Linked DNA regions of Macaca mulatta. The protein of the gene in region 2 purifies or fractionates together with the protein of the main gene of each other region. This does not show direct contact. Links are inferred from orthologs where the notes say so. Each region holds a gene or a part of one and is shown on either strand. Other genes may lie near its edges.

What was found. Proteins that work in one complex are often made in the same cells at the same time.
Region 1: the proteins of SBF2 (region 2) and MTMR1 purify together in Homo sapiens (affinity purification with mass spectrometry; 3 studies listed by BioGRID and IntAct, with this or other methods). This does not show direct contact. The link is inferred for Macaca mulatta from reciprocal best matches to the Homo sapiens genes SBF2 and MTMR1.

Annotation. Positions count from the first base shown.
Region 1 is NC_133426.1:156,943,661-156,947,447, reverse strand, and holds part of MTMR1 (phosphatidylinositol-3-phosphate phosphatase MTMR1), read right to left. Parts: intron 1,000-3,787; coding exon 894-999; intron 1-893. UniProt on the Homo sapiens protein: Lipid phosphatase that specifically dephosphorylates the D-3 position of phosphatidylinositol 3-phosphate, generating phosphatidylinositol. Could also dephosphorylate phosphatidylinositol 3,5-bisphosphate to produce phosphatidylinositol 5-phosphate.
Region 2 is NC_133419.1:55,672,650-55,676,436, reverse strand, and holds part of SBF2 (myotubularin-related protein 13), read right to left. Parts: coding exon 3,659-3,787; intron 2,158-3,658; coding exon 1,895-2,157; intron 846-1,894; coding exon 673-845; intron 1-672. UniProt on the Homo sapiens protein: Guanine nucleotide exchange factor (GEF) which activates RAB21 and possibly RAB28. Promotes the exchange of GDP to GTP, converting inactive GDP-bound Rab proteins into their active GTP-bound form.

The DNA.
Region 1 (3,787 bases), on a different chromosome or scaffold from region 2:
CTGGCAAGGACCATGATTTTGAGAGACTGTTAACTAATGGTAGTCTGGGATATCAAATGCATTTTACACACACTTGTGAAAAATCAATCATCTCTTACTAGCAGGCAAAAATGGCTACTAATAAACAGAAACCTCAATTTAGGCAAACATCACTACTGAAATATAAATGTGATTTCATTTAATGTACCTATTAATAGTTTACTGACGTTAAAACAAAGTTAGTCTTTAGCCTTAACAAAGATGGAGCAAGCGATTTTTTTTGGTTTGTTAATTGATTCAATATTTATTGAGCAACCATTATGCTCCAGGATTGCGCCTGGGAAGCCAGTGGTGAGTAAAACTGCCCTAGTCTCTGCTGACAAGGAGCTTATCACTTCAATTTAGAATAAGCAGAGAATCTAACTTTTAAAATAAACAAAAAGATTTTCACTTCAGTAAGGACTGAAAAATGAGGCTGCCCATACAATACTCTTTTGAGATTTTGGAAAGGTTTTTATTCATTCTAGTATCACATGTTAATGCTGAATACTCACAGATAATACATTAAAAAATTGTGAAGTTAGGGAAGTATTGTACATCAAGATATTTTCTGAAACTCACAATACTAACAAAGAAGCTATATGCATTTATTATTATAAAATGGAACTTGATTTTTAAAAGAATCATCGTCATCTAAAGACAGCTTCTCCTCTCAATTACAAAACTATATGTACTGGATACTGGTAAAATTTCTCTTCTACATTTTAGATCTAACAACAGAGAACCTTTCGTCCTTATTCTCGAGCAAATGGCCGTGTTGCATCAAAGGGCCAACGGTTCACTTGAATTAAAACTGCAAAGCTTCTTGGCTACTTAGCATACTGAAAATGAATTAAGCACTCAATGTTGCTTACCTTGTAATCTCTGGATACATTTTCTGATGTCACTGAACCTGAAATCTGACTAGAAATTGTAGCAGCTATAAGCTGTTTACACCATTCAACATGTGACCCTGTAGGACTAAAAAAAAATAGCATGGATTACAAAACATTATATCATAGGATCTCAGTGAAAAAACTAGCACTGAATAGGAATATGATAATACTTCTTTTTTTAGATGAACTAACTAGACTCTTTGGTTACCTTTACATTTAATCTAAGAACTGAAATAGCAACTGACAACTAGGAAATAAGATTAGGTTCCAGGTTAATTTTAAATGAATCACCCAATTTTCTCAAAAAAAGTTGAAGATTCTAGGTGTTAGTTAAGCTTACTATTCTCTACCATTTAATGGAATTTTACTCTATTAAAATTATACAGAAGAAATCCTTTTTTTTTTTTTTTTTGAGATGGGGTCTCACTCTGTCGCCCAGGCTGGAGTGCAGTGGCGCAATCTCGGCTCACTGCAACCTTCCACGTTCAAGAGATCCTCCCACCTCAGCCTCCCATGTAGCTAGGACTACAGGCACATGCCACCATGCCCGGCGTGTGTGTTTGTGTGTGTGTGTGTGTGTGTGTGTGTGTAGACAGGGTTTTGCCATGTTTCCCAGGCTAGTCTTGAATTCCTGGCTCAAGTGATCCACCCGCCTTAGCCTCCCAAAGTGCTAGGATTACAGGCATGAGCCACCGCACCCACCCGGGAGAAATATGTGAAATATTTATCTTACAGCATAGGCTTTTCAAACATTCAATTAATTTCATGTTGGTAGTTTTAAATCTAGAAAATAGTATACTTTTGAGTGAAGTAAAGTGACTCAGAAGAAAATCATGAGATTTATAAATTACAGCCTAGAAAAATGATATTCTCTGTGTAGTATTAACAATACCTTACACTTCTGTAAGTGCTTTGACAACTTACAAATGGTTTTTATTTTTTATTTCTTTTCTTTTTTTTTTTTTTTTGAGACAGAGTCTTGCTCTGTCACCCAGGCTGGAGTGCAGTGGCACGATCTTGGCCCACTGCAACCTTCGCCCTTCCGGGTTCAAGCAATTCTCCTGCCTCGGCCTCCCTAGTAGCTGGGATTACAGGCGTGTGCCATCATGCCTGGCTAATTTTTGTATTTTTTAGTAGATATGGGTTTTCACCGTGTTGGCCAGGCTGGTCTCGAACTCCTGACCTCAGGTGATCCGCCTGCCTTGGCCTCCCAAAGTGCTGGGATTACAAGCACAAATGGTTTTTATTATATCAGAGCCTCACAACCATGGTGTGATGAGAAGGCAGAACAGGGACTAGCCAACTTGTCTTTGAGGAGAGAAAATTGAGGCACAGAGGTGACATGCCCTGTGAGAAAGTAGCTGTCCTCAACAGGACATGGAACAACGAATAGTGACTGACTCACTGCAGTGAAGCCAGCAGCACAGATGCGAGCCAACCGCTTTATATGAAAACACAGCAATGCAAAGAAAATGTCATCTTTCACTCCCACAGAGCTCTGAGGCATCAAAGCATTTTCACACATGTAGCCTTGCCCAGCCTCACAGTGACCCATTTTACAGATGAAAAAATTAAGGCCCAGTTTTGCCCCAGGTCACATGACTGGCAAGTGGTCAGGCTGTACTCACCTGACCTAAAAGACCACATAAGCCAACTAGGCAGTGAGAGATTTAACAATTGCCCCCAGAGGCCGGGTTCCTCTCACAATTTGGCAAAATACTAAGAAATCAAGCTAGAAGGCTAAGAATACTGACAAAAGTTTACCTTGCAAGTAGCTTTCACTGTAAAGAATGTTTCAGGCCTTTTAAAAAAATCACATCACTGATTAAACCCACACTCATGTATCTGAAGGACAGAAACACCTGGAATCCCCAGGCAATATGGAAAATGACCCAAAGAGTAAAACAAAGAAAATGGAAGTTCTGTGCTAGTGATCCAAATTGCAGTCTCTGATCAAAACACACCAGAGGTTATCTGTGTGGTTGAAAATACTGAACGAGCAGAAACTCCTATCACATGCCAGGAATCTATATACCACAATTTCGACCTGAGGGGGAGAAGGAGGGAAAAGAGAGAAATTTGTTTCCTTCTTAAAGGTTAAGTCACTTTCATTCCCGCGTATATCATACTTTGCCTGTCATAATGCCTTTTTCTGTCGGCACCCACCAGTTGCAAACACAGGAAGAAACTGCAGAAACCCAACTGCTGAGCGTGAGTGTGACCTGTTATTACCACCTGCCCAGCATGCCTTCCCCCTTCTTCTGATAAGGACCCTCCTCTTTACCTTGGGGAACTGCCCTTCCCCACATCATAGGCTTCTGTGGGGGAAAGTGGAGAAGAAGGCTGACCCCTTCCTCCACCTGCTCCCACTTGTAGGTGAGTTACCTAGGACCAGCCAATCCCAGGCTTTCCTCTTGGATCCTGAAATACATGGATCTGCATCCAGAGCTGCTGGAGGCCACTTCCCACCCCACCCCACCCCACCCCTACCATCTTAAGGAACTCACAGGGATTAAAAAGTGAGGGGAAAAAAGACAGAGAGAGAGATGGGGAGTCCCGACAACACCGTTTGCAATCCTGGCCTCAACTGTGCCTGTGGCCATCTCTCCTCCTATCTGGAGCAGTTCTGTGAGCCAGGACATCTCATTTGGCTTAAGCTAGATTGAACGGTGGTTTCTGTCACCTGCAACCAGAAGCATCCTGGCCAATGTAGTTACGCACAGTGAAACATAGTGGGCTAGCAGACAGGAGGCCTGGACATGAGTCCTGCTTCTGTCACCAGCTAACTCCATGATCTTTGGCAAGACACATCCTCTTACAGGACCACAGCTTCCTCATTATTAATTACAGTATTCAGAGCAGAAGTGAAGGCT
Region 2 (3,787 bases):
GACCCAGCAGTTCCACTTCTACATATATACCCCAAAGAAATGAAAGTAAGGACTCAAATAGATACTTGTATGTGGATATTCATGTATTATTATTTATAATAGCTAAAAGGGAGGGAGAAACAACTCAAATGTCCATCAACAGATGAATGGATAAAATGTGGGACAGCTATACCATGGAAAATTACTCAGCCATAAAAAGGAATGAAATTCTGATACATGCCACAACACGTATGAACCTTAAAAACACTATGCTAAGTGAAATAAATCAAACCCGAAAGTACAAATAGCATCTAAGTCCACTTATGTGAAATATCTAGAACAGGCACTTTATAGAGACAGAAAATACATTAGAAGCTACCAGGGGCTGCAGGATGGGGAAACAGGAGTTATTGCTTAATGGGTAGAGTGTTTGGGGTAATAAAAAAGTTTTAGAAATAGATAATAGTGATGGCTGCACAACATTGTAAATGTAATTAATGCCACTGAATTGTACACTTAGATTGTTTTATGTTATATATGTATTTCACAACAATTTAAAAACATTTTAAAAACTAATCAGAAAATAAATAAATAGCATGGCTGAACTATATGGAAGACACGTATTGCCAGGTTTTATGCTGAAACTCAATAATCTCCAATATTCTGATTCTCTAATATCTGCAAAGTGATTACCTGGTATCATGCAATGAAGGCTCTTGATGTGATCCTGAGTAACTCCACTCTCTGTACAAACTTTGTCAATAAATCGGGTAATGAATCGCACAACAGAATTGGCAATGTCATTATTCTCTGAATCTTCAAACCCACTCTCTGTATCATAGCTCTCAGCTACACTTCCTGCAATACTAAGACAGTCAAGGAAAGAAATCATGGTCAGTACTCAAATGCAACAAATGACTACTATATAGTAGTCAATTTACATAGCAAATGAAATATGATCAAAGAGATGTCTACTCAAGTAGAAGGCTCACTTAACTCCATGGCTTCTTAGTAAGTCATGGTGATAAAACACAACGTTCTACTTGTCTACATTTGGAAACTACTGTCAGGTATTATCCTTTGGACCCAGATTTGTTTCTGTAAGGAATACCTTTTGTCACTCTCCCAAAAGGAACCCAGGAACCACAGAAAATAAAGCAAAAGAGGATTCTCTCGTTTATTATGGACTACCTGGGCCTTCTAAAGCAACCTGTCCTCCCAAGTTAATTATTACATAGAGACCAAGTAATATGGCTATCTTTGGCAATTTGGCAACTGAGGAACATGTTTCCTGGTAGGCAAAGTAAGAGAATTTTTCTCAGCAACAGGCATATTCTTCGGTATGTAAGGACCAAACTGTCCTATGAACCTTTCTCTTGCCAGGATTTATCACTCTCTGAGTAAACTGCAACCCATTTGGGTTTTAGTTTCAGTGGTATGAGAAGTCACTGGAGGGTAGAGACACGGAAGGCATGGTTGAGGATATGACTATAAGGTTGAGGAAAAGGAGGGCTGAGAAACAAACAGTCACTTTTGCAAGAAGGTGCTCACTAATTTCTCTGGAATGATTTCTGTAAATTGCTTTGGCAGACAGTAACTAAAGGGCTGGATCAGTAATGGGTGAGACATTTGGAAAAATTAGGTCATAAAAAAGAAGAGAGTGTGGAAAGTGGTTAAGAATAGTAGGATGAAGTGAATCTTTTAGAGAGAAAAGCTGAAAAAGTCCAAAGGTGAGGAAAAAATGGTTAACTTTTGAAATATGTTAATGGTTAACTTTTGAAATATGTCAATATGTTAATAATCAAATATGTTAAAATTTGAGCAGTATTTGCTCAAAATGTTTAATATTATCTGTCAAGCCAAGACTGGTCCCAAGAAGAGTAGGAGGAGGGTCTGTGTGTTCACATTTCGGTACCTGTTTGTGACAATGCTGTTGCTTCCGCTCTCCCAGTCACCTGGTGCTGATGTTCTTAGGAGCTTGTTTTTACTTGTGTCGAGTGGAACTAGCAGGTTCACCATGAGGTTTGCAAAGTGAATGGCCTGACTAAAGACAGTGCTTTCCTCATGTTGCACTAGCTCTTGCTGAGTTAACTTGCTCAGGGTAGGCCAAAGGCGTAGTTGCTCAGCTGCCAGGTCCATTGCTGTCTTTTCCTGATACTGGTTATCAGGAAGCTTATCCTAAAAAATAAAGCAACACAATCCAAAAGAGAACCATCACTTCAGGTGAGCTTAAAAAACATAGATGTTTTAAATAACTATTCTATTAAATGCTTACATCAGCAAAAATGAAAACATAAACAAAACATAACAACCACAAAACAAAACCTAGTCTTCTTTCCCAGATCCAACAGGCCTTGAGTGGAACTATGTGACAAACCTCAGGAAGCAGCAGCAAAGCACCTTATAGCTTGTGAAGAGCTGGTATGTCTATGGTCTCACTTGTACCTAACCTAGGGCTGGCTCCGGGATAGACTTCTTTAGAATGGCTGGCAAAGAAGCAGTGACATGTGTTTGCTCTATGAATTCTTTCGAGATGTGTCAATATTAACATTACAGCTGCTTAAAAAATTATCGAAAGCACCCCCAAAGCCCAATAAATTTCTGAAGTATAATGATAATCAGCCTTTAAGGCTGCTTTAAATTCAATTCATAAGGATAATTTCTAACACTTATTATTACTGCATGCCAGGTACTCTTCAATGCACTTTATATATTAGACACTAAAATCTCATAATAATCATATCCATTTTACCAGTGAGGAAATAAGGCACAGTGAAGTAACATGACTTGACCCAAACCAGAGAGCTAGTAAATGATATTTTAAACTTTCAGAGTATTTAAAACTACTCTTTCAAATTAAAAACAATTTCCTTGATTTTAAAATATTTTGATATTTTTCATAAAAATATTTTATGCTGATGAAACAGAGAGAAACATATAGAATATTCCTAGAAGAAGACCTAGATTTATTACTGGCATTTTTAAAAAATAGAACTACTAAATTTTACATTTATTTTGGAGTCAATTAACTTTAATTTGACATTCCTCCAGGAAAGTTAGTTGCATAGAGAAGTATGCCTGTTATTTTAGGTTTGTTCTTTTTTTTTTTTTTTGAGACGGAGTCTCGCTATGTCTCCCAGACTGGAGTGCAGTGGTGCAATCTCGGCTCACTGCAAGCTCCACCTCCCAGATTCACGCCATTCTCCTGCCTCAGCCTCCCGAGTAGCTGGGACTACAGGCGCCCGCCACCACGTCCGGCTAATTTTTTGTATTTTTAGTAGAGACGGAGTTTCACCGTGTTAGCCAGGATGGTCTCGATCTCCTGACCTCGTGATCCACCCGCCTCGGCCTCCCAAAGTGCTGGGATTACAGGCGTGAGCCACCGCGCCCGGCCTAGGTTTGTTCTTTCTATTCAACTTCCTATAATCATTTCCAGGAAATTCTTATTTATTAAAGTATATTAAAACAATCCTAGTGCTGAAGAACTGAATTAAGAAGTTATTATGGAAAAACATAATGTCTGAAAACAACAGAAGAAAGATATCACAGGGCTCCCTAAATAAAACCCAAATACACTGATAGGAAGTAGCTAGAGCTTTTTTTTGCCCTGGGAAGGTCTGCTTTCCTTAAAGCCAGAATCCTAATCCCACACAATTAGCGTTCTTTTCTTCTCTCTTACCTTTTGCTTCAGATGCGGGGCATGATTGTCTTCCTTGGCTGAGAGATAAAGGGAGCGAACCTGTTCCTGCACTGCATTGTAAAAGGTTGTCTCCCAAAACTGCTGATTTGTCCAAATGGGGTGGTCTTG